Linked DNA regions of Tribolium castaneum. The protein of the gene in region 1 purifies or fractionates together with the protein of each later gene. This does not show direct contact. Links are inferred from orthologs where the notes say so. Each region holds a gene or a part of one and is shown in the gene's direction. Other genes may lie near its edges.

Region 1 (5,291 bases):
GCTCCCACGTAAAGTGTTCCATAAACCAGAGAATTGGAAGCGATCGGGTATTTGGTAAATGCATATTTAATGAATTTTAAAATACTTGACATGCTGAAACAATTTACTGTTAGAGCCATATTTTAGTAGAAAAAATCGCATACTAGAATTCAATTAATTAGAGTTCACCAACACAATGGTCTTTTTTGAAGCGTTTCATTTTTTTAGTGCCAAACTACTAGCTAACTGATTTGATAAAATGATTGGGTGGCATTTGGGCAAAAATTTCGCAACAGATGCGTTCTTGCGCAAGAACGCTCTTATTGATTGTAAGTCGCTCTGTTTCAAATATCACAGGACGCGGATTCTAATTAGAAATTGTTCGAATGTTGTGGAAAAATTCATAATTCAGTTGGAAACAATAATTACAAGTTATTTATTACAAACAGGAATTTTCCGACGTTTTTATTTGTTTAATATAATTTATGTCACACTTTTAAGGTCTTGTGTATGACAATAAAGGGCTTTTATTTACCTGGAACAACACAGTAACTTAATAACAACGCTTGTAATTCTTCACAGCTACTACACACCACAGCAGATAGGTTTTGTTTAATGAATTCAATTGGCGCTAGTTAAATAAATTACTGTAAATAAAATATGTAACCTTCTACGAGTGTATTATGAGTATTAACTAGCTTATCTTAGGCAATTTTTGAGCTACTTTCTTAGGACGACACGTGATACCTTTCAATTCACTTTTGTAGACATTAAACAATGCACAGGTACGCTTAAGTATCATGTATGCAACATATGGTTACATAAACTTGATCTATGTGTTTTATTGTTTTCTATGAGTTATACGTTAATAATAGTTTTGAAAATAAATGAATAGTAAAGTTCGGCAAATACCTAATCTGTTTGTTTTACGAACAAAGTAATTAGTACGTTATCAAGGCTGTTAAAAATGTGATTGTTTTTTAATTTTTAAGTTTTGCCAAATATCAAGACGATTCGTGATAGATAAATTGTTACAGTTGCGTTCCGAGCTCATCTCAAAGATTCTCCGAACTCATTTACTCAAAAATTAAAACGAATTTCAAAAAATTTGAGACAAAAGTTAGTCTGAGAGGTTTTTACTTTTTTTGTAAAATCCGCAAGTTATTAAACTAATTTTTTAAATCAGTTTGTCAGAAAAACTTTGAATGCTGATCAGACGCTCGTTCGAGTGACTTGAGTTCAAAAAAAAAATAATTTTCTGTTGTTAGGACAGCAAAGCAAAGAAGTTTCTCCACGACCTAAGAATTTACTTTATGATTTTTTTTTTATAAAAAAAAAGAATAATTTTTTGTTAACTAAATTACATGATAAAAATGTGGAAAAACGCCTCGGAAGACTTGTTTCCGGAACGAAACAAATATTTTATAAACTGTGTTTTTAAATATCGTGGTTTTACTTATATGGGAAGCTAAGTACAGTCACCCAAAATGAAAATGATGCGTCTATAAACAACCACCTACCGTGCATTTTTGAATAAGATACTCATTTATTTTACAATATTTGATAAAAAAAAACGTCTAAATCCATAAATCTTTTGACAAAACAACGTCTCAAAATTACAAAATTACAAAATTTTCCAAGCTTTTTGGAATGTATTACCTAAATAAACCGAGCTGAAAATGAAACAAAATTTTTTTTTTATTTTTCTGATTATTTCGTAAAAATTATCAAGAATAAGATAAATATCATAAAATACTTTAATTAATGTTCAAATTTGTTCATTATACAGCAAATTTAATTTCACATTGAAATTTATATTTTGCATCAACCGTGTAAACTATAGATTGCTCCCTCACATTTTGTCTCTAATAAAAGCTTTTATTACTATAATTATTATTATTATTATTATTATTATTATTATTATTATTTATTAATAATTTATTATTTATTTATTAATTAATTAAATTTTCCAAAAAATGAAACCCTCAATTATTTCAAATGATGATAAACGAAATGTCGAATTTCTTAAAACTTGGGCGTTATAGACACGTCATTTTCATTTTGGGTGACTGTACTTATCAATAGCAACTCGTACAGGATGTATAATTTTTCATTTTGCTTCTGCAACTAATTAAGTCGCATGGGGAACACGTTTATTGCATATTTTTAATAAATTAGCATGTTTATATAGCAGTGGGAGTTAGATTTCTTAATAAAACGTTGTGCATGACTAGGTAATATGGTAATGGTCTTTTGTATTCATAATTGCTGGAACAATGTAAGAATTTTTGTTTTGTATTTTTTATAATAAAAAAACAGTTTTTTATATTTCCCGCCTCAGCTGTCAACAAAAACATAACCACAAAAAATATTGTAATATAACCTCCAAATAACTTGTTGCGGCATGTTTTTGTAAAAAAACATTTGAAATAATTAAACAATGTTTACGACTAAAGCTTTTATTAAAAAGAACAAAGTTGGGAATTATCTGAAGGTTAGTATGTGACAATAAACATGGGGGTCCATCTTTTCTAATATTGTAGCACGTTCGAGAACATTATATTCGTGATGACATTTCTTGTGGTCTTCAAGAGTGTGAAACTTGTTTGCCAGTGGAGTCATTCCTGTCCCCAGACCACGAAAACAAATGTTCTTTATTTACTTCTAATCATTATCTAATACTAGACACAAATGTTGTTCTTGATCAGGTATTTTCCGAGTTTATTTTTTATAAAACTAGCATTTAAATTACAAATTTAGATGGATATTTTGGAAGAGTCCGTCATTGGTAATGTGATAATCCTCCACACAGTTTTAAACGAGGTGAAGCACCGAAGTCTACCAATTTACAAACGCTTGTGTGCTGTAATTGAAAATCCGAGTCGTCATTTTTACGTTTTTATAAACGACCACCATCAGTAAAAACATTTTTTCATTATATTGATACAAACCTAAAACATTGCTTCCAGAGGCACTTATTTGCAACAAAACGAAGGTGAATTAATTAATGATTACAATGACAGGTGTATTAGAGCTGCGTGTTCCTGGTACATAAACCATGCCCCTAAACAAAAATTCGTTTTCCTCACTGACGACTCAGCTAATCGGATTAAAGCCCAAAAAGAGGATATACCTTCTTACACCGTCTCGGAATATGTGCAAAATCTCAACACTTCGGGTCTTACCGATAAATTATCGAGGAAAGATTTTCACGGAAATGATTTTACGAAAGACGTTTTTCCCAACCATTTGAGTAATGTTGAGCTTTTGACTGGCATAAGAGAGGGAAAGCTGCTCCAGGGGACTTTCCGAGCCTCTCGAGATAATTTCTTGGAAGGTTTTGTCAATGTGGATTCGTACGAAGAGCCGGTAAGGCAATTTTATAAATACATTATTTTTAATATTGAAACTCGAAGCGAAGCTATTTGTTTTTATTTTCTGTAGGTGATAGTTCAGGGTCGGGCTGGCCTTAACCGCTCAGTGGATGGTGACACTGTAGCTGTTGAGCTTTTGAAAGAGGAGGAATGGGTGTGTCCGAGTGAAATAATCCTAGAGGATGAAGGGGTTGGTGATGAGAGTGTTGACGATGTTGTGACAAAAGAAAACGAGTTACAAAAAGCGACAAAGAAGAAAAGTGGAGCTAAACCTACAGGACGTGTTGTTGGAATTATTCGTAGAAAGTGGAGACAATATTGTGGCATTTTACAAGGGGGCATTGATGGTGTTTATCAGATGTTTGTTCCAGCTGATAAAAGTATACCCAAAATTAAAATAGAAACGAGACAAGCGGAGTTTCTAAGGACTCAGAAATTGATCGTTACGATTGATTCCTGGCCCAAACATTCACGCTATCCTCATGTAAGTGTTATAAGTAAATAAATAATTATTTACTCAAAAAAAATTACCACTAAAGGTAAGCTGAAAATACAATAAATCAAAGACAAACAATGATTATAAAGAAACACTAACAAATAAAATAAAAAAACAACAGTTTACAACTTAGTCTAAGAAAAAATTGGAAGCATGTTAAGAAAGCGTCAATAATAATGTCGTAATAAAATTTATTTATTTTAGAGGTAATTTCCATTCTACTATAATAAGAGTCAACATTTAGAACACTAATATTAAAAGACATTAAAAACTGACTGATTCAGAAATGTTTTTATGGCAAACTATGCAAAAACAGCTGTGATTAGTAAGAAATTTTCTACAATGTCAAAAAAAGTAACATAACTTGAAAATTATCACAGATAGCTATAGGAAATGCTAATACAAATCGATGTAGAAAAAAATTCTCTTCCATTTAATAAAATAAAAATTGGGACATCCCATTTGAAAAAATTAAGTTATGGGCACTTGAAGTTGTTCAAACTTTAAAATTTTTGGGTTTAATAACGTCTTTTCCAATTTTGAATACACTGCAGAACAGATAGAGGCTTTCTCTTTTAATCCTCCAAATATGATTTTGAAATCTCCAAAGCTAAGAGAGTTACCGATTTTTTAAGTGACAGATGCAAATCCAAAAATTTTCAAAAAATCTTAAATATCCTGAAAATGGTTCAACTTAGGTATAGGGAAAGTTGATAAAAATAGCCTTAAAATAATTCCACTAATCCATTTAAAATAAGGAAGTTGCATAAAAAAAAATTACTCAGGAAAAAATTTCTTTTTGCATTAATTTTTTGTAATTTTTTAAATAGGGTCATTTTGTGCGAGCTTTGGGCAACATTGGGGACCAAACCACCGAAAACGAGGTCATTTTGCTGGAACATGACGTCCCTCACAGCCAATTCTCTGAGGAAGTTCTCAATTGTTTGCCCAAAATGCCTTGGATCATAACCGATGATGTAATGTTTATTTTCCTCCCTGATTGTTATTCATTGCGCTTTTAATAGGACGTCAAAAAACGAGTCGATCTCAGACACCTTGACATTTGCTCAGTGGATCCCCCAGGTTGTACCGACATTGACGACGCCCTTCATTGTCGTCCACTAGCTGACGGCAAACTTGAAGTTGGTGTTCATATTGCCGATGTTTCGCATTTTATAAGACCTGGAACGCCTCTAGATCGCGAAGCTGCTTCTAGAGCCACCACAGTGTATTTGGTTAATAATCGAATAGATATGGTGCCAGCATTGCTCAGTTCAAATCTTTGTTCGTTACGAGGAGGAGAGGAAAGATTCGCGTTTTCTTGCATTTGGGAAATGGACCAAAATGCCAATATTTTAAGTACGCGATTTCATAAAAGTATAATTAAGTCGAGGAAAGCAATGACTTATGAAGAGGCGCAACTGATTATTGACGACAAGACC
Region 2 (4,045 bases), on another chromosome or scaffold:
ATCACCAAATTTGGTCAAAAATGAAAAATAATTTACTTTTTCTAAGCAAAAACTTCATTATTTCGCATTTTTTTAAATCAGGTAATAAATCAAAAAATTATGCAAAAAATGAAATTTTTTTGCAAGTTCTGAAAATTTAAACACGTTTTTTGACCAAAAATCTAGTTTTTTTTTTCATGTTTTTATTAAACTAGAACAGAAAAATCACCAAATTTGGTCAAAAATGAATGAAAAGTTACCGTTTCTAAACAAAAACTCAAATATTGCGCAAAATTTCTAAATAATTTAATTGTTATGGAAACGGCCAGAACAACAGTGACAACTGTTAATACAGTGAAACTTCTGTCACCCGAACTAATTCGTCCGAAATTATATATTTTTGAAATATATAGAAAGACGAAATTTAATTGTAAAAAAATTTATTCATCTTTTAAAAACTGCTCATCCGCTTTATTGAAGTCTTCGCTTAAACTTTGGGGCACTTTAAGTGTCTTCAAATCATCTTCTCCAATTTCCTCCTCGGTGCGTATCAAAATATCGACCAAATTTTCACACGCTAAAAGCACCTTTCTGTCCTTTTCCCACTTGTGCAACTCGCGCAAAATCACATAAGTGTTTCTCTCTCTGATAAATTCTCGATTTTTTCTCTTGGCACATAACTGGGTCAAAGCCTCCAGTAACATGCACCTGATATCTGGATCTTCTTCACGCTGTTTCTCCTCCGGGAGATATTGCAGTTCAAGGGGGAGCTTGTCGTTGTCTTCGTCGTCAAATTCCTCGTTTCCGGCCAGGGGGCGGAGCAGCCGGGGCAAGATATCGACATGGGGGCCCAAGAGCAGCTCATGACACTCGGGGTCAAATGTGCAGTTACGCAGGGCCCCCACGACGCCCCCGCGCCTCACGGCCGACTCCTCGAATTCAATGAAAGGCACGAGTTTGTGGATCCGGTCCAGGAAGCGTCTCCGGACGCGCCCACTTTGCGACAAGTTCGAAAAAAGGGGGCTCAAGTAGTGGAGGTTAGCCCCCGCTTTATTGTACTGTTTTTTCGTGAAAATGTCAATCAAATCGTCCAAACTTGCGCTTTTCTCAAGCGCATCAATCACTTTATCGTGATTGGCCCGAGATAAGTTCGATAAAATCATGCAGGAAAAATCGGCGATTTTACTCATGGGGTCCGTCACGAATTTAACAACAGTCGAAGTAATGTCACTCGGGGGGCTCTGTAAAGGGGGGCACCCCACACTCGTGTCCAAATCAAGCAATGCCAGGGCCCCCTTGTGATCAGCAGAGACATTAACAAGGCAAAGTGCCGAGTCTTTGACAATTGTGGCGTTATTATCACTCAAAAGTGTGATTAAGGAGACCAGAAGTGACGGTGTGTTGATTAATGTGGCAATTCCGTCCGCATTCCCCGTCAAACCTACAAAAAAATTACAAAAAACAAGTCTAACCTCGAACCCTATTACCCAAAATGTGCCCCAAAGCCACCGATTTGAGGTCCAAACGGGCCCCCAGATGCACAAACTGCAACAATTCGGCCACGGAATCACCCATTATCAGGCTAAAGCCCCCAAAAAAAAACAAAACACGAGGGGTGACAGCTGTCAAAAAAGTGGGGTTAGGTGGCAAAAAATCATTCTAATAAGTAAGGCATTATTTTTTTAGGTTTATCTCTACGTTGTATGTATATACAGGGTGTAATGAGTAGTTAAATAAACATAACATAAACCAGTTTATTTAATTCTGTAGCCAAATTAATGGTCGTAATTGGTAATTAATGTTAATTAATGAATGAGAAAGTAAAATTTTGCAAATTCGTTTTTTGACAATTGACAGTGACACTTGACGTAACCTCAAAAAAATCAAAAATTTCGTTTTTGTGCTGATTTTTCGCATGTTATAGCTCCTTGTGTGCCTTTGATTGGCTTTGAACGTCGTCTGCCGTGATAATAATATTGACAGTAAAAGGAACACGCAGTTTTTGAAATTTCTTCATGTCAATTGACATTTGACTTAACCTCAAAAAAAATCAAAAATTTCGTTTTTTGTTGATTTTGGGCATGTCATCGCCCCTTGTGTGCCTCCCGGGGCAGCGGCTGTGCCTGTCGGACCCCTCGCACGTGTCCGGTCAAGGCACGTACGAGCGTGGGGGCTACATCTACGCCACCCTTGCCGGTGTTGTGGACATTGTCCCCAAAGACAACGTCCAGATCATTGAAGTGCGCAGTTCCGGGCAGGAAACGCTCGTGCCGTCACAGGGCGACATCGTCACAGCGCAAATTCACACAATCACGCAGCAGTTTTGCAAATGCTACATTAAGTGTGTCGGGGATAAGGTTTTGGGGCGGCAGTATCGCGGGATTTTGCGGAAGGAGGACGTGCGAGCGACGGAGAAGGACCGCGTGGAGATTTACAAGAGTTTCAGGCCCGGGGACGTGATTCTGGCGAGGGTTTTGCCGATCACGGAAGCTCACACTTATCAGTTGTCCACGGCTGAGAATGAGCTGGGGGTCGTGACGGCGCACTCGGAACATGGGGGGCTTATGGTGCCTGTGAGCTGGACGGAGATGCAGTGCTCCAAGACGTTTGTGAAGGAGGCCAGGAAGGTTGCAAGAGTTGTGCCAGAAAGCGTGCAAAATGATGTGAAATAATGTTCAATAAATTGTATTTTTGTTTATTTTAATAAACCCTTTTGCGTCCCTTAAAAGTGCAAAAAAGTTAATTGAACTATTAGAGATAACCCTATAAAGTTTATAATCGTTGGAAAGCTCTTTGGATTATCTATTTTTTTCAAAAATGATTATTGTTCTCCGACTAATAGTTTTCGAGAAAATTGCAAGCAAAAGCAAAAATTGGAAACATTAAAAAAATCATAACTAAAAAACTATCGGGAATTTGGCGATTTTCTCGATGTCAATCGATTTCCCGGATCATTTTGCATAGGTAAGGATCAAAATAGTTCCACTTTTTCGAATAGTTTAGCCGTAATTCGATAAAAATTGAAAAACTTAAAAAATCACGCTGCTTCCTGAAAAACGTGCTCAAAAAACTTAAAAATAAACGCAGGCGCGAAAATTTGAATTTGAACCTAATTCTTTAAATATCTCGGAAACTAAGCGTTGGGCGCAATTTTGTTCTATGAGAGAAAAGATGCAACTTGATGTAGTCTAAGCGACGGTCTGGTTGAAATTGTAATTTTCAATAGTCATTTTGCTATCTCTTTAAGGAGCCATAAAAGACCTACACATTTTTGTGTTTTTGTAATGTCCAGTTCAGGCGGTGAAGTTTGAGGGGTCACTCGATGGGGTTTATATTAGTTTGAAAAACCCACCCTTATATTTTTTTTCAACTTTTATTAATACTTTTTCTAGTTTCGGGAACTGTTTGCAGTGGAGAATAAGTTGGTTTTGATTTTAAAATTTTTGGTCAACTAGGAACAGAGATACGAGATTTATTTATTGAAGGGTTGTTTTTTATGAAAGTGGCTAAATGTCATTTAAATCTACTTATTTTGTTTTATTTTGTCTGTTGTTGCTGTAATTGTACGACCATGTTAAAAGTCCACAAAAACGTAAAAAAAACGGAATTTCCGCCCCACCAAAAACTAAGGGTGAGTTTATTTTTGTGTTTGTATGATGGCTGTGAGGGTCTCAATGCGTAATCGTAAAAGTGGGACTTAAAAAAAAAAAAAAAAAAAAAGGAGAAAGAAGGGGGTGAATTACATGTGGCCTATTCCATATTAATGGATTTCCATATGTCTTAACAACCCACAAAAGTTGTTTTTAGTCCACAAAAAGTCCATATGTTCGATTTTTAGATGTTTGATTTTTTCAATTTTCGTCGCAGTTTTGGTCGATTTTGGGTACCCGGAATTTTCTCGAGCAATAGCTCCGGAACTATCAGAGATAACCCCATGAAGTGTATTATCGTTGGAAAGCTCTTTAAATTATCTATCTTTTTCAAAAAAAATTAGTGTTCTGCGACTAATAGTTTTCGAGCAAATTTGAGAAAAATGCAAAAATTGGTAAAATTTTAAAAAATTCAT

The links.
Region 2: the proteins of Dis3 (region 1) and Csl4 purify together in Drosophila melanogaster (affinity purification with western blotting; 3 studies listed by BioGRID, with this or other methods). This does not show direct contact. The link is inferred for Tribolium castaneum from reciprocal best matches to the Drosophila melanogaster genes Dis3 and Csl4.

Annotation. Positions count from the first base shown.
Region 1 is NC_087394.1:36,185,934-36,191,224, reverse strand, and holds the start of Dis3 (exosome complex exonuclease RRP44), read left to right. Parts: upstream 1-1,941; 5' UTR 1,942-2,419; coding exon 2,420-2,473; intron 2,474-2,522; coding exon 2,523-2,687; intron 2,688-2,739; coding exon 2,740-2,897; intron 2,898-2,948; coding exon 2,949-3,348; intron 3,349-3,423; coding exon 3,424-3,837; intron 3,838-4,679; coding exon 4,680-4,826; intron 4,827-4,874; coding exon 4,875-5,291. Other genes in the region: mpv17-like protein, read right to left, coding at 1-92.
Region 2 is NC_087401.1:17,298,673-17,302,717, reverse strand, and holds Csl4 (exosome complex component CSL4), read left to right. Parts: upstream 1-1,760; 5' UTR 1,761-1,847; intron 1,848-1,903; 5' UTR 1,904-2,060; coding exon 2,061-2,651; 3' UTR 2,652-2,707; downstream 2,708-4,045. Other genes in the region: protein HGH1 homolog, read right to left, coding at 420-1,420, 1,467-1,554.